Linked DNA regions of Callithrix jacchus. The protein of the gene in region 3 interacts with the protein of the main gene of each other region in a pairwise test. Links are inferred from orthologs where the notes say so. Each region holds a gene or a part of one and is shown on either strand. Other genes may lie near its edges.

Region 1 (3,500 bases), on a different chromosome or scaffold from region 3:
AGGCATAATCCTACACCAGCAAAAAAAATTAGAACTTGCTGAAGGCTCAGATGATTGTCAGCATTTTTTAGCAACAAAGTATGTTTTAATTAAGGCATATACATTGTTTTTCAGACATAATGCTATTCCACACTTAAGGTAGACTATGACATAGTGTTAATGTAGCTTTTATATGCAGTGAGATAGCAGGAAATATGTGTAACTTACTGTATTATGGTACTCACTTTATTGCGGTGGTCTGGAACTGAACCCACAATGTCTACAAGGTAAGGTTGCACTCTTGGGTTTCTGTAATAACCTAGTACCCTTACAGTCTTTCTTATTGTCCTTCACTGGACCATATGCATATTATCTTACCTTATTCCTCATTTTAGTCTCCAGTGCCTGGCATATATAAACCCTGAATATTTTTAAATATAATATTTTTAAAAAATCACTTTGGTTGTACTATGGCTTCAGTTGGTGGAAATTTTTTCTTTTTCTTTTTCTTTTTAGGTTTCAGTTTAATGTCTTGAATTCATTCCAGATATTAATTGGATTTGGATTTGTAAAAAATTTTCTGTAAAATGTTTTTATAATTTTGTTTATATTTTGAGTAAAAAATTCTTTCTTCTCCCCACCCCACACTGTAGTTAAAGCCTTCCATCTGAAATATGATGAAGTTCGTCTGGATCCGAATGTTCAGAAATGGGATGTAACAGTATTAGAACTTAGCTATCACAAACGTCATTTGGATAGACCAGTGTTCTTACGATTTTGGGAAACATTGGACAGGTAATTTTTATTCTAAAATGTGTTTATCTGTGGTTTATTGTAATTTTTCTGTCTCCTCAATTAAATTTTAAGTTCCATAAAGTTGTGAATCTTACTCCCTATTTTCCTTCTTTCAACATTAATTTGATGTTTATCTTCAGTAAATAATTAACAAAATTTTATTGTATAATTACTTTAGAAAGGGATGGAGAGTTAATAGCCTGATAGAGGGAACACTAAATTGAGTCAGAAGACTTAGACTTGAGTCTTGCTTTTGTAATCTCTAATGATCTGTGTGACCTTTTTGAACCTTATTATCTGTCCAAGAAACTTTGGATTAAGCGCCCTATGTTTTTGCAAGTACTGAAAGATCTCTGATTCTGGGTTCGTCTGTGTTACACATAGTTCATGAAAAGAAATGAAATTTTAAAATTTATTTTGATTACTAGTATAGTGTTGATAAAACCCTTTAGTAACAGTTTTGTAATTGGCAGATTTAAGAACAGCGTATGTTCACAGTGAGTACCACTGAATCCATTCTCTTTGAGGTGTGCTCCTTAAAATCTGTAACATCTTGGTGTAAGTCTCTCACAATAGATGTGAAAAATATATATCATTTTAGCTAGAAGCTTTTAGATTATATTACTTAAGAGGAGTGTTATTTCTAGCTTATTCCAGAAGTCCTTATATTTTCAGTTTTCTAGAAAACAACATTCTGTTGATTTAAGAAATGTCAACTTATTTTTACATGCGTTATTCTAAAAATTCCGAAATTTCTATAGTCATTATGACCTACCATCATACTTTTTTTTCAGGTACATGGTAAAGCATAAATCCCACTTGAGATTCTGAATTATTTGGCTCCTCTGTTTCTGGAAATTGAGACTCAAGCTTTATGAATTTATCAAGAACTTAAAGATGAAGAAGGTCACAGATTGATCTTTTATAAAACCTTACTCGATGCTTTGTGCTTCAAGGAGATGATGCCTGTCATCCATATAAGCAAACTTTTTGGCTTACAACTATTTTTTTAATACTAGCCTTCTAGTCTGTAATGGAAATTGTATATTTTGATAGAAGTTTTTTCTCCATTGGTTAAATTAGCATTACTTAAAAAATTTGTTTCTTTAGAAAATAAATGCAGGTTATAAATGTGTGTATATTTAGAGATTATAAGGCTCTCTGAGCCATCTTGCTTCTGATTTTTCATTGCTCTCTAATTCTTTTTACTGAAAATACTGTGTGATGAATGGTATTAAATTTTAGTCTCTGGAACATCCAAACCAAGCAGAGGGATGTGACCATTTTGAATGAATCAGAATGTCAACCTGTATGTACACTATATCTACACTTACTCTTTATTTAAAAAGAATAATGAAAAATCAAGAACAACTCTTCAATTTGATTGAACTGTTCAGCCTTTTCAAGATTTCTTTATTTACAAATGATAACATTTAATGAATGTACGTTCTTCTCACTGACTGGTGATTTTTGAAACTTAGAATGATGTGTTTCTATCTGTGATATCTTTCCGTTTGAAAAAAATTTCAAAACACAGATTAAAACCATAATAGGCTGTAGTATTTTTTATTTTGGGAGCCACAGTATGATTTGGGGAAGGAATATGTATCAGCCCTATTGCAGTATGTCTTTAAGCTCCTTTTCTCTTTAGTCCACCTTTGATTCTAATTTTTATGGTATAGGATTTTGAGTCTTCTGTTTTAGGTTTAGGCTTGTCAGTCTTGGAGTTCTTATCTTCCATTATCCCTCAATATTGATAAACTCCCAGACACCAAAGAACACATTTGCTTAATTGAAAAGAAACAAGAGAAAAACACTGGTATTTTTGTGTGTGTATTAAATATGGTATAAAATATAAAACCTATATTTTAACTTAGTAAAATATTTTACTATTTCTCTACTTTAGACAAAATGTTGCCTCCAAGGTACAACTGACCATTTTCCTTGAATCCTGATTTTGCTCTTTTTACTTAAAAGCAACTGGAAAGCTTTACTTTCCCAAATTGTTTTTGCCATCAGAATTTTTGCTGATCACAGTCTTAGGTCATTTTTTTCTTCCTTGTTATTCCCAGCAGTTCTTTCCTAGGTTAACATATTGTTGGCAAACATTTATCCCTTTCATAGGTGTTAAGCTGACATTATCTAGATTCTTTATGAAATTTAGCACTGTCACAAAAACGAGAAGAAATTATTTACTTTTAAGTAATCACAAAGTCCATACCACTAGTAACTAGAAAAGGTATTTATTTACACGGTATCTACAAGGCTGTTCAGAAGAGAACAGTTGGCATTTTAAATTACTGGATTTTAGCATACCTAGAAAGTTTGAATAGATTCTACCCGTTTTCCTCCCTTTTTAGTGTCTTCTTTCCTTAAAGATAAAACTCAGATTTTTTCCCATTGGGCTTTCTTAGCATATAGATCTGTTTCCGGAATAAATTACGTGTTGTGTAAACTTTCTTCATGATGAAATAGTCAAGGACCAGAATCTGTGATATATGTATGTAAGATTACTTGTCAAGACTACTACAAGTCAATATGAACTACCTTCCCGTAAAGATTTTTGGTATTTATACTTATTAATGAACTTTACTTGATACAGAATATGGTTAAAATTAGGAACATCTACTTTGAATGAGGTTTATTTTTCTATTTTGAATTTGCCTTATGTATATTCAAAGGCTTATGGAAAAACTATAGAGGAACTTTAGGAAAAGGACAAATAT
Region 2 (4,300 bases), on a different chromosome or scaffold from region 3:
GGTAGCTAAAAATCAGCACAAAATAAAAGTTAGTAATTCAAAAAAGGATCACTGAGCATTAAGAAACCAGCCATAATATGTGAATGAAAAGCAGGAAAAGTACTGTTTAGGCTCCCTTACTATTTGCTGTTTATTATGATTTACCATGTATGTTTAACAGACAGCAATAACTTATCATCTTTTCTTGATTACTTTTAGGATCCAAATAGTACTGAAAAGCAAAAAATCTGTTTCAAAGAAAGCCGACTCGCCTATCAACCTAACAATTATTTGCACTGTGCTATTTGTACACTCAATTTAAACACAATCACATTTAACCTTTTAAATAGCATCCCTTGGATACTGCTAAATCCTGGACTTCAACTTTTTCTCCTTTGCCTCAACTTTCAAAACTGCAACTTTAAAATACCATATATACAACATACACACAAAAAAAAAAGAAAGAAGAAAGAAAAGAACAGGAAAAAAATCAACAGTAGAGCTTGTTTAATGTACTTGTTTGCCACATACAGGGAAGATAATGCCAAATACAAACTAAAACATCCAAATTAAATCTCTACTTCAATTTGAGCAGTTACTTCACTTCAAGACTAAAAGACCTTCAATCAAAAAAGTCTGACAAGAAAGTTAAATTGAAACGAATTGCCAAAAATTTGCCTAATATGTACCTGTAGTTTCCATTCCAGCACTTCTGCAAAACCTATCTTCTTATATATTCCCTGATTTGGACACTTCAAAATTGTTTAACCTGCCATCTGTAGACCTTTATAGACTTTATATATTAAAAGCACAGTTACAAGTGTAACGACTTCAGGATACAAAATAATAAAACTATTAACAGGTGTAATACATTGTATATATCTACACATCATTACCGGTCCTCAATTCTCTAAAATAGTCTTCCCACCTAAAACACTAATTCAAGCATGCTACCGGGGTCTGTTCAATTGCATCTATTCTTCTAACCCTGCAGCTGAAGCTTAAGATTGTCTAAGTACAACAAAGTTCGGGCGATGCTTCTCCCGGGGACTCGGTCCTGGCATCCAGTCTCCCGTTGCTCCTTTTAAAAACTGACACACAAACAAGGCGAAAGGAGAGAGGGCGGCTGGCGCTCCGGACCCCCTCCCCGCCTGCAGCCTGGGGTGGCTGCCTAGGGACAGCGACCCAGCCCGGTCCATACCTACACTTCATTTTACACTAGGAGCAGAACTGAGAAATCGACTCCAGATTTATTGCAGTTTTTTCTCAAGATCAGGACGTGGGAAGGAGAGAATGATCAAAGATGGCGGTGCCCAAAAGCAGCAGCTCTCAACTGGAGAGTCGAAGGAGTAGCTCCGACCCCCACCTTGGGGGTCTCCAGGCCCACTGCGGGGTACAGCGTCTTACCTGTTTTCTCTTTGATCTCACACAGGACGCTGAAGAGCGCGGGTTTCATTCTATGACAGTTCAGAGCATGTTTCCTAAAAAACAAATAACAAAACACAAAGGTATTAGCATCACCTATGGAATAATATGGCGCCTTCCTTTAAGTTAGACCCAAGAATTAATTCCGGCCCCCCATTCTGGAAGGCCCTTTTGAACCCTGGGAAGTCAACAAAAACTCCAATTGACTAGTGCCCGACAGCCAGCAAGTCCCGGCGGCGAAAGCTGCAGCCAGAACAAGGCGGACACATCTGCCCGACAGGCAGCAGCGTCAGCCACCGCAGACGCGAACCCACTCGGGGAGCATCGCCCCGGGGTCTGGCAGAGGTGAACCAGGGGAGAGAACTGGTGGGGAGGGGGCTCCCGAGACGGCTCCTGTACAGGGGGAGCGGGCGCGCGACGCGGCCGGCTGGCCGACTGCGGCCAGCGGGCGGGTGACAGCTCGGCAAAGTTTGCAAGGCGGCCCTCCCTTCCCGAGAACTTGGCCGTCCGCACCCGGACCCGCCAGGGAATTGCCCATCGCCCCGCGCCGGGACCGGGAGGCCCGTAAGCATGGCGAGGTCGTCCCGCAGCCACGGGGAGTCGGCTCCGGGACTCCCGGCCAGAAGAGAAAGTTGCACTTCCCGGTGGCGCGGCCGGCACGGGGATCCGGAGCGGAGGTTTAAATCCGTGGGAGGGGGCCGGGCTGCTAGGGGCAGGACGGGGGAAAGGACGCCACTGAATCCGTGCCGCACCGAGTCCGTCCTGATCCCCCCAGAGCAACTTTGCCGACTCCCGCCCGCTTCAGGGGGCTCGGGCGAGTCCCCCTCGAGGCCCGGGCGGGCGGCCGGCTTTCAGAGAAAGTTCCTCGACTGGGGCTGCGGCCCCGGCCCCGGGCGCCACCCCCGGCCCCGACTCGGCCGCGGGCCCGGCACCAGCACACACACAAAAGATGCTTAATGAGACGACACCAACTTTGCTTGCGCCTCGTCCAAGCTCTGGTCGGTGATGGTCATGATCTGGTGGAGGATGTCGCCGATGTCCTGCTTCCTGCCGTCGCCGTCCGCCCCTTCGTGGCCGTGCGGGGGAGGCGGCAGGGCCATGCCCCCCTGCACCGAGTGGCCGGCCAGGTTCACCCCGGCCAGAGTCTGCAGCATCCTGGATTGATCGTCCATCCCGCCGCGCGCGGGCGGGAGCGGGCGGCGGCTGAGGAGAAGGCTGAGGAGGCGGCGGCGGCGGCGGCGGCGGCGAGGGAGGAGAAGAAAGAGGGGGAGGGGGAGGGGGAGGCGGCCGCGCGCTCCCTGCCCGCGTGGGGAGGAGGCGGCCCGGCCAGCAGGGCCCGCGGCTGAGGCGATGCGGACCGGCGCCCGGCTCCGGCTTCCGCCGCCGCCGAACCTGAGGAGAAGCGGCGGGCGGAAGCGCCCGGCTCCGCGGCTGTGGTGGAGGCGGAGGCAGCGGCGTCCGCTGCCCTCACGCGGCCGCCGCGCCGCCTCCTCGCCGCCGCGCGCCCCGCCGGGCGGCCCCGAGCAACTTGCTCCTCAGCGCCGGCCGAGTTGCCGGGACGCCCGCCGCCCCCCGCGCCAGCCTGCGCACTGTCCTCCTTGCCCGCCGCCGCCGCCTCGGCCGGGCGGGATCCGAGCCCTGGCGGCCCCGGGGGAGGCAGCGGCGGCGGCGGGCGGCGGCGGCGAAGGAGGCCTGCGGGCGGGCCGCGGGGAGCGAGGGGGGCGGAGGAGGAAAGTTTGGGAGCGGGCGGGCTGAGGCGGCGGGGGCGCGGCGCCCGGAGGAGGGCCGCAGCGGGCCACGCGTCGAGTGGACAGCGGATGGAAGGGGCGGGAGAAGTCGCCGCCGCCGCCGCCGCCGGAGCCGCGCACCCAGCCAGCAGCCGCCGCGGACCAGGCTGGAAGGCCGCTGGGCTGAGGGATTGACAGGCTGCCAGTGCCACTCACTCACTGCGGCCCCGCGCCGGGGGGAGGGGCGGGGCGGGCGAGGGCGGGGGAGCGCTCCTCAGGCCCCGCCCCCGGGGCGGTGCGCGCGCTCATTGGGCCCTGCGCCTCCCGCCGCCGCCGCCGGCACCGCCCCCGCGGCCCGGCCCGTCCCCTCTGGCCTGTCTGTTGCCCCGGCGCTTCGAAGTGCGCCGCCTGATTCTCGCTCCATCCTTGTCGCGTCCTCGCCCCCGGAGATGGACCTGGCCGGCCTAGAAACGCTGTGCCGGGACCCCGACGCCTACTCCCTGCTGTTGGCAGTCATGGGCGCCGGGGCTTGTGTATGGGACAGAGGACAACTTGCTCCAAAGCCAACTGTGTACTCCCCCCGCCGCACTCGTGAGCTTCACGCCTCGGACAACGCCTGGTGCACTTTCCCGCTCTTCCGGTCAGGAGGTGTTGCCCTCTGGGTACCAGGCCGCTCGTCCAGGGCCAATCGCAAAGCGCTCGGAGCCGAACGGGGCGGGACAGAGGCAAGAAAACGTTGTCCCAATTGGAGCGTTCGAAAGGTCCTGGGCAGAGGCGGGGAAGCGGCGAGTGGGGGCCCCGCCCCACCCGCGGTCGCCATGGTAACCGAGAGGGCGCCGCTCAATGTCGGCGCCAGCACCCGGGCCTGGTGCTGTCCCTCAAGGAGTGACCAGTTAAGGTGGTAGCCCCTGGTCCCGCGTGCTTGAGGCCTGAGCTGAGTGGACCTGAGTGCCACAGACTCCCTTGAAAGGGGAAATGTGTAATAGGGAAGCGAGTCTGGGAGAAGGGAAAATGCCTGCAGTCCAGGACTAATTTCAGGTTTACAACACTTTACACACTCTGCAACTCCTGGTAATCCAGGGACTACTCCTTTGGCAGCGTTTGCTATTCGATGCCTCCAGACGAACTGAAGCTGCAAAAACGAGCTCTTCATTACAACGATACGTTTT
Region 3 (3,878 bases):
TGGTGGTGCACGCCTGTAATCCAGCTACTTGGAAGGCTGAGGCAGGAGAATTGCTTCTGGGAGGCGGAGTTGAGCTGAGATTGCGCCATTGTACTCCAGCCTGGGCAACAAGAATGAAACTCCAACTCAAAAAAAAAAAAAAAAAAAAAAAAAAAAAAAAAAATACAAGTATCTGTGAACCAAGAAACAGGCCCTTCCTTTCCAGACACCGAATCTGCTGGTGCTTTAATCTTGGATTTTCCAGCCTCCAGAACTATCAGAAATAAATGTCTGTTGTTCATAAGCCACCCAGTCTATGGTATTCCGTCCTAGCAGCCTGAATGGGCTAAGACATATATTAATATATATACAGAGGAGACTTTTTTCTTTTTTTGAGACTGAGTCTCACTGTTTCACTCAGGCTGGAGTGCTGTGGCACAATCTCGGTCACTGTAACCTATGCCTCCTGGGTTCAAGCAATTCTTGTGCCTCATCCTCCTTAGTAGTTGGAAGTATAGGGCATGCAGCATGCCTGGATAATTTGTGTGTGTGTGTGTGTGCGTGTGTTTTTAGTAGAGACAGAGTTTGGGCATATTGGCCAGGCTGGTCTCGAACTCCTGACCTCAAGTGATCTTCCCACCTCAGCTTCCAACAGTGCTGGGATTACAGGTGTGAGCCACTGCACCGGGCCACTCACTACACTTTCATAATTAGAAAGATTAGTTTCCTCTTGAAAAAACAAATAGATTAGAAAACTAGTAGAAGTGGTTACAAAGTATAAAAGAGATAGTAAAATGATACAATGTGAGGAGTATACAAGAAAGATATTTAAAACAGACTTTTTGTTTGTTTGTTTGAAACAGAGTCTTACTCTGCTGCCCAGGCTGCAGTGCAGTGGCACAATCTCGGCTCACTGCAGACTCCGCCTCCTAGGCTCCAGAGATTCTCCTGCTTGTTGTTTGCCCTTGGGGATAACAGAAAGCACAAAATATAATTCTCAGTTGACACTGTACATTTCCCAGGCAGAGACGAGGGCGGTCTTGGTCCTTATTGTATGAACAGATCCAACTCCACCCTGACATGGAAACTGGATTTCCTGATATCTCCTTAAACAGGCCTTCAGTAGCCAGGTAGTCATGTTGAGCCTGAGTTTTGGTGTATCTTAAGTTAGTCTGGGCCTCTGTTTCCTTAACTCTAAAGTTGTTGAGAAATGTTAAGTTTATGAATATTGATGTTGAGAAATGTTAAGTTTATGAATATTGATGAATGCCGAGTGTATGACAGAATATATCGTTTGCTAGGAAGAACGATGGCAAGGAAAACCAGCACACAGCCCCACCCCCCCCCCCCCCCCCGCCAAGTAGAAAACTACTTGGGGCATTCCAAAGTGGCAGGACAATGTATAAATATCACAAACCGGTTACAGTTCTTTAAGAACCTGCCCCCGTGGCTCCCTCACGGAGAATACTTTTTAGGTTGTGATCAGTTGTAAGCGGGCACCAGATGTCTACTTGGCGTGTTTTGTGTTATGAGAAAACACATAACACCTGTTTGTTAATAGTGATCACCTGTTCAGGGAGAATAAATGCATGGGTCAGAGTCTACTTGGGGCCTTCAGTCCGGAATGCTGTCCGGCCCCTGAGGCTCTCAGTTCAGAAGCCTATTGGCCACTGCCCTCCCCGCCTCTCACCCCCATAAGCCCACTTTGCTGTTCTATCTGGGTGTCTGCCTCTCAGTTCCTTCAGCGCCGCCTGGATGGGGGTCTCTATGGCCGAGCTGGTACTTGGTATAAAGTGAAGAGTTGGAATGAAGATTGTATTTAAACACCCTGGCTGGAAGCTGTGGTGCCCTGAATTCTCCCTCTTACTCCATCGTCTCAATACTGGCACACAGCCGACACTCAATAAAAGTAAATTTGTGGCTTCTGTCCAGTACTTGGCACTTAGAAGCCCTCAATAAATGACTATCAAGTTTATTTCATCTTCCCAGCACATTTGTGACAGTCTTGAGGGCGGGAACCATGTACTCAATAGGGCCCTGATGACAGAAGAGGAAATCGGCTTGGTCCCTATTCGTAGAAGTTCATAGGTTAGTGTGGGAGGCTAAGATAATAACTCGCCCATTTAAAGATATTTTTCCAAAGTCCGCATGTATTGGGTGGAAAAGGTGAGGCAAGCGTTGTATTTCCCAGACTCCCGACCAGGTTGCGAAATGATTGACGTCCGAGGGAGACCACCTCACCTTTTCATTGGTTGTAGCTGACCCTCCCTTCTATCACCTAACCATTCCCGACGGACGCCTCACTTAAGCCCCGCCTCCGGCTGCCAGCCAATCAGAAGTGCCGAGGACCGGGTCGCTGCCGGGACACTGACGCGGTTTCGATTCCAGCGAAAAATGCCTCAGCTCGGACTGTCTCGTGACAGGGGGTGCGAGGAGGACAGTCCCGCGCCCGCTGAGCCCTAGAGCCGCTGCCGCCGACTGTCATGGAGGACGAGCAGCCTGACAGCCTGGAGGGCTGGGTGCCGGTCCGAGAGGGCCTCTTCGCCGAGCCCGAGCGGCACCGGTTGCGCTTCCTGGTGGCCTGGAACGGCGCGGAGGGCAAGTTCGCTGTGACTTGTCACGACCGCACCGCGCAGCGGCGGTGGCGACGCGAGGGGGCCCAGCCCGAGCCCGAGCCCGAGCCCGAGCCCGAGGCCGCCATGTCCCCCCCAAGCTGGGCCGGCCTACTTTCGGCCGCGGGGTTCCGCGGCGCGCACCGGCAACTGGCGGCGCTATGGCCGCCTCTAGAGCGCTGCTTCCCGCGGCTGCCACCGGAGCTGGACGTAGGTGGCGGCGGCGGGGCCTGGGGCCTGGGTCTTGGGTTGTGGGCGCTGCTGTGGCCGGCGCGCGCGGGGCCCGGAGAGGCGGCGCTGCGGGAGTTGTGTGGACGGCTGGAGCGCTACCTGGGCGAGGCGGCAGACGGCTGCGGTGGCGCCACCGTGCGCGACGCGCTCTTCCCGGCTGAGGGCGGCGCGGCAGACTGCGAGAGCCTGCGCGAGTTCCGGGAACGGGCCCTGCGCGCGCGGTGGACCGAAGCGGACGCGCGGCTGCGCCAGGTAAGTGAGGTCGGGCCCAGTCTGCGCTGCCTAGGCTTGGGACCTTGTGGGAAGCTCCCCGGGCGCCCAGAGCCCGGGCTGCCAGCTGACGAGGAGGAGCCGGAGGGTGGAGAAGGCCGCGGGCTCCGCGGTGCTCTCACCTTCGCGGGACCGCTGTGCGAAACGGGCGGGAGCTCCGGGAGGGCCTGCAGAGAGGACGGACAAAGTTAGAGCCTAGTGTACTTGCAGCTCGGAGCTGGGCTAGGCTCCCAACCTTTGTCCTGGAGATGCTGGCAGAACAGGGTGTTGTAACGGGAAATGCCAGAAATATTGCAAGCAAAACTGTAAACAACCCATCCACGTAGGAAAGAATAACACGGACTAAATGTAAGCGTTCCAAGTCTGTATATGAGGGAATGTCACAAACGGGATAAAATGGTTTAACGGAAGAAATGGCTGTTAAGAGATAAGGTGTTTTGTTTTGTTTAAGTGATAAAGACTTGGCTGAGGGAAAGTGAAAGTGAACTTTAGTCATCAGTTTGGAATAACTGCAGGAGTGCTGCTTGAACGAGGTAGTTTGAGAAGGAGTTATTGAGTGGTACACCTAGCGAACCTAAGGGGAGGGGGAAGTACAAGTTCATAGAAGGGTTTAGGAGAAAATATGCCTTCTAAATCCACGCCCACAGTTTACTAAGGAGAGCCAGGCTGGTGTGCAGTGGGACAATCTTGGCTTACTGCTGTTATTAACCTGAATGATTTTTTTTTGTTCATTAAGGAAGGGGAGGTGAAGAGAAGAGTTCAGCTACATTTCAAAATCTTAATTAT
Region 4 (4,016 bases), on a different chromosome or scaffold from region 3:
TTTTTTCTTCACACTCTCTTTCCCTAAACCTCATTCCCTAAATTTCAACTATATTTTCTGGGTGAAATAATTTAAATCTGCATCTCTATAACCAATCTTTCTGAAGCATTAGTGCCCATAATGAAATTTCTTGCTGGGACCTTCTACCAAGACATGTCACCGGCTATTAAAACTCAATACATCTAAAATTAAGCTTCTACATCTCACCTTCAAACCATTCCTCTCTCTTCATGGCCTCCCTTTTCCAGACTAATGCCTGTCTTGCCTAACTTACATTTGAGATGCCTCAAAGTCACATTCTTTTTGAATTCCCACTGCCATCATCCTAATTATATATATATGGGGATTAAAGCCTGGTGTTTTAATCCAGTTAATTTACGGTTTAATGGATCCCTACAAACAGCTCATCTGCAGGCCTAATACGGCCTACATGTAATTGTTAGTCATTTTTACTTAGTATTTTTTAAACTGTGATAAAAACAAATACATAAAATTTACTATCTCAACCATTCCTAAGTGTGTATTTCACTAGAGTTAAGTATCCGTTAGTCATAATTAAAAGCACAGTTGCTAGCTCACAATAGTGAGCAGATGAGAACTGCTTGACCACCCCCTGGCTGCTGCAGGTGGAGGCTGCTAATCCCCTTCACTGCTAGGCCAGTAGCTGAGAACCTGGAAGTCAGCGAAATGGAAGACCATGTTAATTTTATAATTTTCTTCAAGTTTAATGCCATTAAAGTTTCATAAAATTAAAACCATGAAGGATCACTGAAAAAAGGTAAGAATGAATAAAACTCCATATAAACTTCAATCACATTCTACCTGTGTACAAGCATAGTCTTATTTTATTTTTTAAGATAGCGTCTAACTCTGTGGCCCAAGTTGGAGTGCAGTGGTGTGATCTCGGCTCACTGCAATCTCCCCGCCTCAGCCTCCGGAGTAACTGGGACCACAGGTGGCACCACCATGCCTGGCTAATTTGTTTGTAGAGGAGGTTTGGCCATGTTGCCTAGGCTGGGTCTATTCTCCTTTATAAAAATTCACATGGCTTGTCAAACTCAGAATATCCACTACACTCTGGGGGGGAAAAAACTAGAAAAATATAACATCTATAAACACCCAACACTTCCACTTGGCTCTAAATATGGTCTATAATTTGGTCCCACATTATTTTTCTGGTCTCACTTCCTATTAAGTTAGCTAAACCCAACTATGCGTAATTCTAGAATGGCCTGGATGTTGCTATCAGGTGACTTTACTCAATTCCACAGTACAATAGTTTCAGATCATGTTCTGAGGCCAGACCCTCTGGGTTCAAAGTCTGGCTTCACCATTCATTACTACTTGACACCGGGTAAGTTATTTAATCTGTGCCTCATTTGCCCATCTGCAAATGGGGATACAGTAATATCAGTTTGATAGGGTTGCTCTGGAAGTTAAATGAGTTAATTCACACAGTGCTTGGAACGCTGCCTCTACCACACTAACAAACAAAAACTATTATTTTTCCTGCAACCTGGAATGACATCCTTCAAGTGGGCTCAAATCCCATTTCCCTGATGACCTCATCAGAAATGACTTCCAGTCCCCCACAGCGCTCTGAGAGCGGTTTCCGACCGGAACGGATTTCGCCAAACTCCAAAGACGCGGGTTCCCCTCGGCATCACCAGGTGAGCGCTGCTGACCGCGCCATTGGGTCGTGCCAGGACGTGGACGCTGCCCAGGGCAGCAGGTCCACACTCCCCTAAACCAGGCGCCGGTGGGCGCTACTAACGCGTTGAGGCCCGCTCCCTCCTTAAAATGCGTGCACATCTACTTCATATTTTCGCGCGGTGGATGCGAAAAGTCTTTGTAAACTGGAAAAGGCTGTACAAATGTAGCGGGCAGTAGGTAAACCGGCCCTTCCCCTGGGATGCGATGCACGCCCGAGCGCCCCGGGTTACACTAGGTTGGAGGCTCAGAGAAGGAAAAGGGATTAAGGGCGAGGCTCCGCGTCTCGGGACAAGGTCCTTGGCCTCCTGTCATGCCTGGTGGCGCTAGGGACCCGTGATCGCCATCTCTGCGATCGTGCATGCGGATATCTGCACCGCAAGCCTCGGTGTCCGCCCGGATCAGGCCTACCCGTGCCGCCGCAGCCGCAGCCGCAGCCGCAGCCGCAGCCGTAGCTGCAAGAGCCGCAAGAGGGCTGACAATGTCCAGGCCTCTACCCGGACCCAGTCTTACCTCCGGCGGCAGAGTTACCAGCAGACGCAGCCGGAAGTAAAAGACGGGCTCAAGATGGCCGCCGGAGCCTCCCTCTCGGCCCTCCCCCACCAATATGATGCCCCGCCCCTCCGGTCCCGCTCACTCTGGCTTTTAACTCCGGTTCCCCAGTCCGGTTCCCATGGCCTCGCCCCTTTGCACATTGCGCTTCCCGGCAGCCTCCGCGTGGGCGTCCCCTCCGACTCTTGCTTTCACCGGCTTTTCCACTCCTGGTGGTTACTAGGACCAACGAGGGGGGCGTTTGAGGTTAATCCCTGTTACCTTGCCTGAGCGCAGTCCGCTGTGCGTGCTCAGACTCTTCCCAGCAAGAACCCGAAGCATTAATAAATTTGAGGTCTAGCTTCACTTAACTCGAGGAGAGGGTTTCTGTGTCACTTACGTAGAAACTAGGGCCCAATTTCAACTCCCCCCCACTCCTCTGTCCTAAGTCTATCCACGTCACCTACTTGGTAGCTGGAGTTAAACAAGAATCCTTTGAAATCTCCAGTCACCGACACGCAGTGGGATCACTATCAGTTTTCCTGTTTCCTTCCTTCCTTCCCTCAATAAAAATTAACTTGAACTAAGTAACATTTGCTGGTTGATAATTTACAGCAAATCTTTCCTTTTGGCCTCTCTGATTAAGTAAACTGTGAGTGTACTTTGCCTCTTGAGAAATTAAATCTGATTACAACAGAGCTACATATTTTTCACCAATGGTTAGACTGACATTGTAAATACACTATCTGATAGTTGGGGCTGGCCTCGTGGTCCTGCAACCTGTGCTCTTACCCCGGCCCCCAGAACAGAAGGACGCTACACTTTATCTCAATAAGTTTTGAACCCCGGGCCCCACATTTATGTCTAGCACTGGGCCCTGCAAATTGTGTAGTGATAGGAACTGATATAAGTATGGATGAGCTGCCACACAGAAGATTACCTGCCAGAATCTATTGTGTGGCTCAGGCTCCTTTTGCCATAGTGATCTTTGGACTAATTTAACCTGTGGACTGAACCTGTGAATCAATTGGAATTCAGACTAAAAATAATGTTTCATCAAAATAATGTTTTTATTTTGAGAAAGCATTAAATTGTTTTAAACTTTATTTTTACTAATAAAGAATTGAAAAGGGGATTTTCTTCAGTTTCAAAACTGAAACAGAATAAATGAATACCTGTTTGCAAGTTCTTTAGAACTGATGTTTGAACAAAGATAAATAATTAAATGATAAATTCGCCTCACTGCTTCGAGGTGGACTAGCCAAAGAACTCTAAGTGTGAAGTTCTTTTACTAAAGGGTTCTTGTGTTAATACAATATGAGAATAATTAGAACTAAAATCTCTTTTACACAGCATAAATAAAATGTTAATTGATCCACAAAAGTTGATTTCTTTAAAATATTAAGAATGTGTATATAATTATAATTATTTGGACATGGAAGCAAAGTAAGCTGAAATCAGAAATTAAGATTGACATTTTAGATAATGAAACTATCAATAAAAATGGATCAATATTAAGTACCCAAAGAAATAGTCCAAAAATTATATGTGAATGTGTGACTGAGAAGATTTAGGACTCTTGGGTTGAACTAAAATAAATTGGAATATAATCTTAAGGAGGTAATAAAGGGATGCAACAAAACTGAGAAAACGTCAAATATACTTAAAGCCTATAAGAAAAGAGATTGTATTAGTCAGTTCCAGCTTAACAGAAATGTAATCCTCACCATTCTAAAAGTCTAGGAAGTCCAAGATCAGGGTGCTGGTGAATTCTG
Region 5 (3,500 bases), on a different chromosome or scaffold from region 3:
CAGACAGCTTTATAATCAGGAGCACTACATTGTTTACCAGGTAAAGTAGCTTCAAAAACAGTTAGACAAAGTTGGGCTTTAAACTAGGACTAACAATTACTTAGTAAAAAACACTGAAATTGAGGTCAGTCAATGTCAAGTTCAACACCTCTGAAGTAGATAAAGGAAAAGTGGTAACTTACCTGAGGCAGCAGGGGAGGCTGCAACAGTATTGGGTGTTTGCTGTATCTCCCCACCATGTATCATGGGAAGGACCCCGCCTACCTCCAGGAGGACACCTGTACTGTTCAGGTGGCCAGAAGCCACAGCCATTTCATTCTCATTGACCTACCAGGGAAGAACAGAGGTGAAGGCTACACTCAAGTTTTCCTTTACTACCATTTCCCAACAAAGCTCCAGAAGTTGATCAAACTTTATGAAAACTAACAGTTAACATCCACAGAGAATAATTTAATACCCAAGGGAAACTCTAAACTATAATGTTCAAAACTTATTTGACAAGAGTTCTCTGGAGTAGAGAACCAAAATAATTTTGATTCAGAGACCTCAGGACCCAAGGGTACTATCAACTTACTATATTTTTCAAAAATTAACATATAATTAGGAGATATTTTCCTCTTTTGAACTTTTTTTCCCCATGTCACATTTTAGGTCCCAGGCACTCCCTTCCAAGTACTAAATCACCACAGCTCTCAAACACCCACAGAAGTCTCCATACCAGTCTGGGGCTAGTAGGCAGGAGGCTGCCCTTCTTCAAGAGCTCTGACAGCAGAGGGGAGGGGGGTGGAGTTGCTTTCTGTCCAAGCATCTTTTTCTGGGGTGAATCATCTGTTACTGGGGTCATGGGGGCTTCTAAGGGTGCAGAGCCTGGAGGAAGGGTGTCAGGAATCCCAGGAAACGAGGTGACTGGGGTACTCGGCAAAGTCCCGGGGGTTACCTAAGAGACAACAGAGAACCTTTATCTGACTTCTCAAACTATGGAAGGTTCCCTACTAATCTGTTTGGGTTAGTGTGTCTAACTATTATTTTATTAGTCCTGAGTCGAATTGCCCAGAAAGCCTCTATCCCTCCTGCTCTCAGCCATACTTTTCTTCCCCACAAGCTTCACTTCCATCCACTCAAACATCCCACCCAACTTGCCTTTTATGAACTCCTTACCCACTACCAGTATTACATTTACAAGGACTCAGTCCCTTATTTTAGCAGGAATTTCATAAGACTAGTATGAAACAATTCCTTAAAACAGTCTTTTACCTATCTCTCAAAAAGGTCAAAAGCCTCAGTGTTTTTAGGTCCATTTTTATCTCAGAGCACAGAACATGGTAAATTCTTTAGCATTCAGACCAAGAGAGGAAGTTGCCTTTAGACCAAAAGTGGTTTCCTCATCACTCAGCTCTGCCGGCTTATTGCCCCTTAGCTGATCAATTTCTACAGCTGGAAATATACTCACCCCAGAGGTAGCCTCTTCCATAGTGGTTGGAGTCAAGTCCCCAAGTGGATAATCACCTCCTGGGGAGGCAGAATCTATAGGAGAGCGAACCATCACAGTGGGTAACCTCCGGGGGGGTGTTTTTACTGCTTGACGAGCTAGAACGTAAAAGAAAACATGTCCAAATCTTTAAGATTAAATAAATGAAACTTGACACTATTCTGCTATTATACAATAAAGGACAAATAGGAATGTTGCATTACTAAAGCAGCATAATGAGTTTGGATTAGAAAGCTTTAACACTTCTGGAGATGGATAACTTTTTAGCCTAATTTTTCCTAAGGGCAATTCTCACACTAAATAAACTCCTTTAACAATCTCAAACTACTTAGTTATCCCAAAAGTCCTCGGAGTGGGAAAGTGGTTTATACCCTTTAATATTCTCTTCAGTGACTTATTAATACTCTGCTTTTAAGAACACGGAGGCCAGGTACGGTGGCTCACGCCTGTAACCCCAATACTTTGGGAGGCCAAGGCAGGCGGGTCACCTGAGGTCAGGTGTTTGAGACCAGCTTGGCCAAAAAATTAGGCGGGCGTGGTGACAGGTGCCTGTGATACCAGCTACTTGAGAGGCTGAGGCAGAAGAATTGCTTGAATATCATAGGAGGCAGAGATTGCAGTGAGCTGAGATCATGCCACTGCACTTCAGGCCTGCACAACAAGCTCTCGGGGGTGGGGGAACAAAAACAGGAAAAGACCTCACAGCATTTATTCCTAGAGTTGTAAATGCTTACATTTCTCCCCTTATCTAATGACTGAGCTATTCTCAATCTTTTCACAGGCCTTTGACTTCTAAAACATTAATTATGTTCAATATCTTCTTATCGAGCCTTGGTATCCTAAAGTTATTTATTAAGGTCTAGTGAGATCTGAGCAGAGTTCATGTTCTAGGAGCTTCTTCTGGGACATTAAGGGATGTTTTTATTCTAGCAGAAGAGAAAACTGTGCAAGTAAATTTAACCCAATGGATTCTATGTTACAAAACAATCCAACTGTCATTAGCTTGCAGTACTGTGCGATCAACTGCTAAACAGATATACTAGGATCAGCTTACCCTGATATGCAGCATCTGTAGCCTTCCTCTTTACTTCAGCCTCCTCTTCTTCCAATTTTTTTTTCCTAAACAAGGAATTAAGAGTTAGACACTAGACAGGCTCTGGCTCCTCCCCAGAGTTCACAGAACCCATAAAAAGAAATTTTTTTGCCTGGCCAGCGCTTTCTGGAAGAAAGGCCTAAACAGGAATTCTAACCAGCAAAACAGGGAACTGGGGTATACTGTCTAACTCCCACTTCTTCACTCAGGCAAACTAGAGCCACTTTTAAGTTATAACTAAGTTATGTTTTCATACTGAAATGTTCCATCATATTACCTTCTAGGACTCACTCCCCCCTCCCAGCCACCAAGCCGCTTTGCAGTTTTCTCCTTCCAGAATCTGTCTCAAGTCTAAAGGGATGGCAGTTGGAGGAAATAAGCCAGATTACTTGAGGGGAAAAGAGGGGAAAAAGAAACAAGCACAGAAGAACAATATAATATAACCCACATTGCAATGTCATTGCAAAGCTCATCCAGTCTGCTGTCCATGTGTCCAGCTTGAATTAGTTCTGCATCTCTTTTTAACCGTCTATAGGAAGAAAAGAGAGGTAGGTAGAATGGATTTTTAATCTATTCTAAAAATCTGACCAATACCAGACGTCAGCCTCTTATGTCTTTCTCAGTCTTTTGGCATTCTCTCTGATAAGTACCTATATCTCTCCTGGGTTTCCTTTATCACTTTCTTTAGTTCCTCAACTCGCTCAGCAGTCAGTTTCCGAACAATGACGTCTTCAACAGTTTCCACCACTTCTCCTTTTTCACCTCGTTTCCGTCTGTGGAAAATGAAAAAAAAAAAAAAAAAAATCCATATTTGAATAAGAGAACATTTATCCCCTCTCCCACTTGCTCTGAGCCTTCTTTATCAATTAATCATAGATAACTTCTGCTATGTTTTTAAATCACCCACTATTATAAATA
Region 6 (4,284 bases), on a different chromosome or scaffold from region 3:
CTAAGAAGTCTGGCTCGGCTGTTCCCCTACCTGTTTGTGGTGTCTTTCGGGGGACCCCTTGGCAAGGCAGCTGCGGCTGAGACGGAGGTAGCCCCCCAGAACCAAGATCTCCTCGGCAGTTGGGTACCGCTTCTTCCCAGCCCCCAGGGCTGCAGCATCAGCTGTGGCTGGAGAGGCTGGGGTGGCTGGGGGAGTCGTAGGGAGCACAGACCGCCGGGGGTTGACGGTGAAGGTGTGTCCACTGCGGCGGGGGGCCCCCACCCCTGGCCCTGCTTTCACCCCATAGAACAGGCGGCTCATGAGGGGATCCCCAGGAGGTTGGGGGGCAGCTGGGGCTGGGGGTGGGGGAGATAGAGGGGCTGGTGGTGGGGGCTGGAGTTCCACTGCTTCTTCTTCCTGCTGTCTCAGGCCTCCAGTCCCAGCGTCCTCTGGTGGGAGGGGGGAGGGCACAGAGCAGCAGTTCTGCAGGGCTCTCAGAGGCCTGCCCTGAGCTCCCGCCTCCTCCTTCTCAGCCTCCCCTTCTCCAGCTTCCACACCGGGAGGCTCCAGACGCTTTTCCACTGACTCTGGAGGTTCTGGTTTCTGAGTTTGAGCCTCGTTGTCGTTGGGTGTCCATTCTCGAGCGTTCCCAGAGTTCAGGGTCCATTTCCACCCTTCTGTTGGCTTCATGCCCCTCTCACTGTCTCCCATAGGCCTCTGTTCTGCAGCCTCCACTCCTGCAGAACTGCTGCCTTGGGCCTCCTTTGTCAGGGTCTCTGACAGCTCTGTAGTCTCTTCTGGGGCCACCCCTGGAACTGGCCTCCCTTCTTTTCTCCTACATTCTTCTGAGTAGCCTTTTCTTTCTTCTCCTGACCTCAGCCTCCACTCTGTTGCCTCTGGTTGTACCAAACTCTGTTCCTGAGACTCTCTGGAGTCAGGTCTCCATTTATGGGCCTCTGTCAGGCCCAACTTCGGGTAGGCAGATTCCCCTGGGCTCAGTCTACTTTCCACCTCTTTTCTTCTGGGGCTTTGCTCTCGAGACTCTGCTAGTCTCAGACTCCGCTCTGGAGTTTCTACAGGACTCAGCCTCCATTTCCGTGCCTCTGACAGTCGGGAGCTCTTGTCTCCCGCCTCTCCTGGGCTTTGCCTCCAGTCCCGAGCCTCCAGAGGCCTCAGGCTCGACTCTTGGGCTCCCCCTATCCCCAGCCTCCTCTCTCTGGTCTCCCTGGGACTTAGTCTCTCTTCTCTTGACTCTCTTCTCTTGGGGCTCTGATCCCGCATCTCCCCAGGGCTGGGTCTCCGCTCCCGGGCCTCCAGAGATCCAGGCTTTCTCTCAGCTAGCAGCTCTTCACTCCGTTGCTGCTGCTGCTGCCGCTCCTGCCGGATGAATCGGTTCTGGTGCACTGGCCCGATGGCCTCCTGAAGGACCGCAGATTCATCTGTGTCTGCAGGTCCGGCTTCTGCAGTCCCTGGCACAGGGCTAGGCTCCCCAGGGGACAGCCCAAGCTTGGCCCGGCGGCGCTCCAGAAGCCCTCGCTTCCAGGCTGGCATCTGGGATAGGCGCTCCCGTTCTGCCTTCTCCCGGCCTCTAACGGACGCCTCCTCCTGCCGGCGCCGGGCTAACAGCTGTAGCTTCCAGTCTGGGATGGTGGTCATGGTCGCCTTGAGGTGAGGGTAGGGAGCACTGGGGGCAGAGAACAGGAAGAAGAGGCTCCAGAGAGGCCCAGGGAGTGAGACTGAGGGTGGGAGGGGAGGAAGTGGAGGGGGAGAGGTGGGACCACGAGCAGGGCAGAGGAGCTGAGGATGAGGACCAAGGGAAAGAGGGACGGCAGAGAACAGGGGAAATGGAAAAAGTGAAGAGAAGTTATGAGCCCAAGTTGGGGGTGGTGGGGGCGATGTGAGAGGAAGAGTCCAGATTGGAGGCAATGAGGACAGGAGCCAGATGTGGCAGTACAGGGTTAATGCGTATTAAAGACAGTCTCTAGGATGTGGGAAACAGAGAATGGGAGAAAAGAAAAGTTGCTATGAGGGTGAAAAGAGAAAAGGGGCAGGGATGAGGGGAACCCGGGTGCAGGCCTGGCTGCCTCAGCGATACCCCAGGGAGGTGAGTGTGGGAAGGAAGGACCGGGAATCCCTCCCGAGGAGGGCAACGGGACCTGAGGGGGTGTCGAGGAGGCAGGGAGGAGCGGAGAGCGAGCAGGTCTAGGGGAGAAGGGAAACCAGGGAAGAGGGGAAGGGAGCGCGGCGGTAGCGGCCGGGAGCGTCTCAGCGCGGGCCCCAAAGGTCCCTGCTCCGCTTCCAGTGCCGCTGGGGCCACGCCTCTCCCCAGCCCCCACCCCTCTGCCCCGCACTCCGCCCCCGAGGCGGGTCGGGGGAAATACCCACCCCGGGACTTTCGGAACCCGGGCGTCGGGGCTGCCAGCGCGTTCCCAGAACCCTGGTATCCACCCCCACCCAGTCCCGTCAATACCGCCTGCCTCCCCCGCCGTCTGCGCCCGGCGACCCCGGAGTGCCGAGGGCCGGCTCCATGCCTCTTCTCTCCAGCGCCTGCGAGTCCCATGCCCGGTCCCCGCTCTCATGGAGCCGTGACAGAGCCAGCTGTCTCCACCCCGCTCTGGCTGCACAGACTGACAATCTCGGCACAAAGAGGAGACAGCCAAGGTCCGGGCCAGGGACGGGAGCGAGGAGACACCCCCTCCCCAAGTCTAAGCCCCTCAGTCAACTCACACGCCGTGGGGCCCCCCTGGGAGGGGGTGCGGAGGAGCCGGGCGTCCAGAGAGAGGAAGAGGAGGAGAGAGGGACCGAGGGAGATCCGGAGACTGGAGGGAGGGGAGGAGGAGGGAGAGGAGGAGGGAAAGAGGCAGCAAAGGAGGAGGGACGGAGACAGAGATCAGGGGGCCGGGCGGGGGCGGCGACCGCTTTGTCTAAGGACAATGAGGAGAGGGAAGGGGGCGCAGGGCGGAGCCCGAGGGGAGGGCGGGGCTCCCTCCCACCGCGCGTGGGACTGGCTCTGGGACTGCCCCCTACTCGCCCCAACCCCTGGTCCTCTGCTCTGTGTCCCCAGGGGCCCTCAACCGCTTCCCTCCCGGTAGCCCTGAAGAACCCAGGTGTCCAGATCCCTTCCCCCAGCTCGCCGACCCAGGGCGGTGGCCCGTGACTCAGGCCCCTCGTGGGACTTTGGGAGGAAGCGGCAGCTGCTAGGAGCCGGGCCCGCCCTTCCCATCTCCTGCCTCTCAGCCCTCCCCGCGATTTTGCCTTCTCCGGCCAGTCTTTGTTTTTGCCGGGTCGAGGGCAGCCACCAGGAGGCCTTGAGGAGGGGGCGGCAGGAGAGGCGCTCAGAAGCCAGCAGTTTTGGAAGCTCGTTCTCCTACCAGAGCTGCTGTCCCCACTCTTTCTAGCTTCAACCTGCCTCCCATGAGTCTCTTGGTCAGCTGCGGGGTTGGGGAGTGGGGGAAGGGGATTTGAAGGAATGGGGACCCGGCCTCTCTGGCAAAGTGGGGGCGGGTCAGCGGGGGCGCGGTGGTCGAAGGCCAGCGGTTGCCAGAGGGCGTGGTGGCTGCCCAGACTCCACTTCGCGGGCTCGCAGGCTCCCTCTGGCTTTCCTTCCCAAACTCAGCCCTGCAGCTTGGGAGACACTGACAGACTACATGCAGTACGTAGAAAAATCAGGCTTTTATTTTCCTGCAGAGCATCCAGAACAGGAAGCCCCAAGTTAAGAACGGGAGAATCCTCTTGACTAGGTTCAGAGGCAGGGCCTAAGGAGGTGCAGACACTAGGGCCGGGAGTGCTGAGGCAAGGTGTGGGGCCTGGAGGGACAGCCACTGCCTTTGAACTTGCAGACCCTGGTCCAGCTTCTCGGAGTGGAAGCCAGAGGTGGCGAAGTGGGAGGGGGATCCCAGAGGCACAGAGAGAAGCAATGGTGCCCGCCAGCGGAATGGTCAGGGCAGATCCTTTCCTTCTAGGAGACTGTTGAAGGGGAGCATGCCATGCCCTAAACAGTGAGGAGACAGATGAATTCCATACCCTGCTCTTCCTTGCTGGTGAGATGTGGACTCTTGGAGTTCAGTGGCTGAAACTCAGAATTTAGAGTATGGAGCTGGACCCAGAGAATAAAGTAGCAAGTAGTGGAAGGGGCAACTCCTTTAGTCCATGGATTTGAGCCTCTGGCCTGAAGCAGCCAGGGCCTGGATGTTAAAGATTTAGAATTCAGGGGGAGAGAGACTGGGCGTGGTGGCTCATGCCTGTAATTCCAGCACTTTGGGAGACTAAGGCAGGCGGATCACAAGGTCAGCAGTTCAAGACCAG

Evidence for each region.
Region 1: the proteins of FSD2 (region 3) and CDC73 interact in binary tests that used the Homo sapiens proteins (3 or more experiments, as listed by UniProt). The two-hybrid records come from large-scale screens. The link is inferred for Callithrix jacchus from reciprocal best matches to the Homo sapiens genes FSD2 and CDC73.
Region 2: the proteins of FSD2 (region 3) and PBX3 interact in a two-hybrid assay, tested with the Homo sapiens proteins (3 studies listed by BioGRID and IntAct). The two-hybrid records come from large-scale screens. The link is inferred for Callithrix jacchus from reciprocal best matches to the Homo sapiens genes FSD2 and PBX3.
Region 4: the proteins of FSD2 (region 3) and ESD interact in binary tests that used the Homo sapiens proteins (3 or more experiments, as listed by UniProt). The two-hybrid records come from large-scale screens. The link is inferred for Callithrix jacchus from reciprocal best matches to the Homo sapiens genes FSD2 and ESD.
Region 5: the proteins of FSD2 (region 3) and BRD8 interact in binary tests that used the Homo sapiens proteins (3 or more experiments, as listed by UniProt). The two-hybrid records come from large-scale screens. The link is inferred for Callithrix jacchus from reciprocal best matches to the Homo sapiens genes FSD2 and BRD8.
Region 6: the proteins of FSD2 (region 3) and PPP1R18 interact in binary tests that used the Homo sapiens proteins (3 or more experiments, as listed by UniProt). The two-hybrid records come from large-scale screens. The link is inferred for Callithrix jacchus from reciprocal best matches to the Homo sapiens genes FSD2 and PPP1R18.

Annotation. Positions count from the first base shown.
Region 1 is NC_133519.1:50,418,129-50,421,628, forward strand, and holds part of CDC73 (parafibromin), read left to right. Parts: intron 1-632; coding exon 633-774; intron 775-1,568; coding exon 1,569-1,605; 3' UTR 1,606-3,500.
Region 2 is NC_133502.1:174,328,328-174,332,627, reverse strand, and holds the start of PBX3 (pre-B-cell leukemia transcription factor 3), read right to left. Parts: upstream 2,801-4,300; 5' UTR 2,577-2,800; coding exon 2,377-2,576; intron 1,461-2,376; coding exon 1,387-1,460; intron 1-1,386. UniProt on the Homo sapiens protein: Transcriptional activator that binds the sequence 5'-ATCAATCAA-3'.
Region 3 is NC_133507.1:24,078,676-24,082,553, forward strand, and holds the start of FSD2 (fibronectin type III and SPRY domain-containing protein 2), read right to left. Parts: upstream 2,463-3,878; 5' UTR 2,221-2,462; intron 1-2,220. Other genes in the region: WHAMM (WASP homolog-associated protein with actin, membranes and microtubules), read left to right, coding at 2,463-3,074.
Region 4 is NC_133502.1:69,264,981-69,268,996, reverse strand, and holds the start of ESD (S-formylglutathione hydrolase), read right to left. Parts: upstream 2,801-4,016; 5' UTR 2,524-2,800; intron 2,428-2,523; exon of another isoform or gene 2,348-2,427; intron 2,250-2,347; exon of another isoform or gene 2,224-2,249; intron 1,671-2,223; coding exon of another isoform or gene 1,560-1,670; exon of another isoform or gene 1,537-1,559; intron 1,355-1,536; exon of another isoform or gene 1,284-1,354; intron 1-1,283. Other genes in the region: uncharacterized protein LOC144581368, read left to right, coding at 1,560-1,670.
Region 5 is NC_133503.1:36,576,837-36,580,336, forward strand, and holds part of BRD8 (bromodomain-containing protein 8), read right to left. Parts: intron 3,356-3,500; coding exon 3,233-3,355; intron 3,112-3,232; coding exon 3,031-3,111; intron 2,609-3,030; coding exon 2,544-2,608; intron 1,588-2,543; coding exon 1,451-1,587; intron 938-1,450; coding exon 719-937; intron 328-718; coding exon 183-327; intron 1-182. UniProt on the Homo sapiens protein: May act as a coactivator during transcriptional activation by hormone-activated nuclear receptors (NR). Isoform 2 stimulates transcriptional activation by AR/DHTR, ESR1/NR3A1, RXRA/NR2B1 and THRB/ERBA2.
Region 6 is NC_133505.1:35,482,941-35,487,224, forward strand, and holds the start of PPP1R18 (phostensin), read right to left. Parts: upstream 2,801-4,284; 5' UTR 2,509-2,800; coding exon 2,450-2,508; intron 1,664-2,449; coding exon 31-1,663; intron 1-30.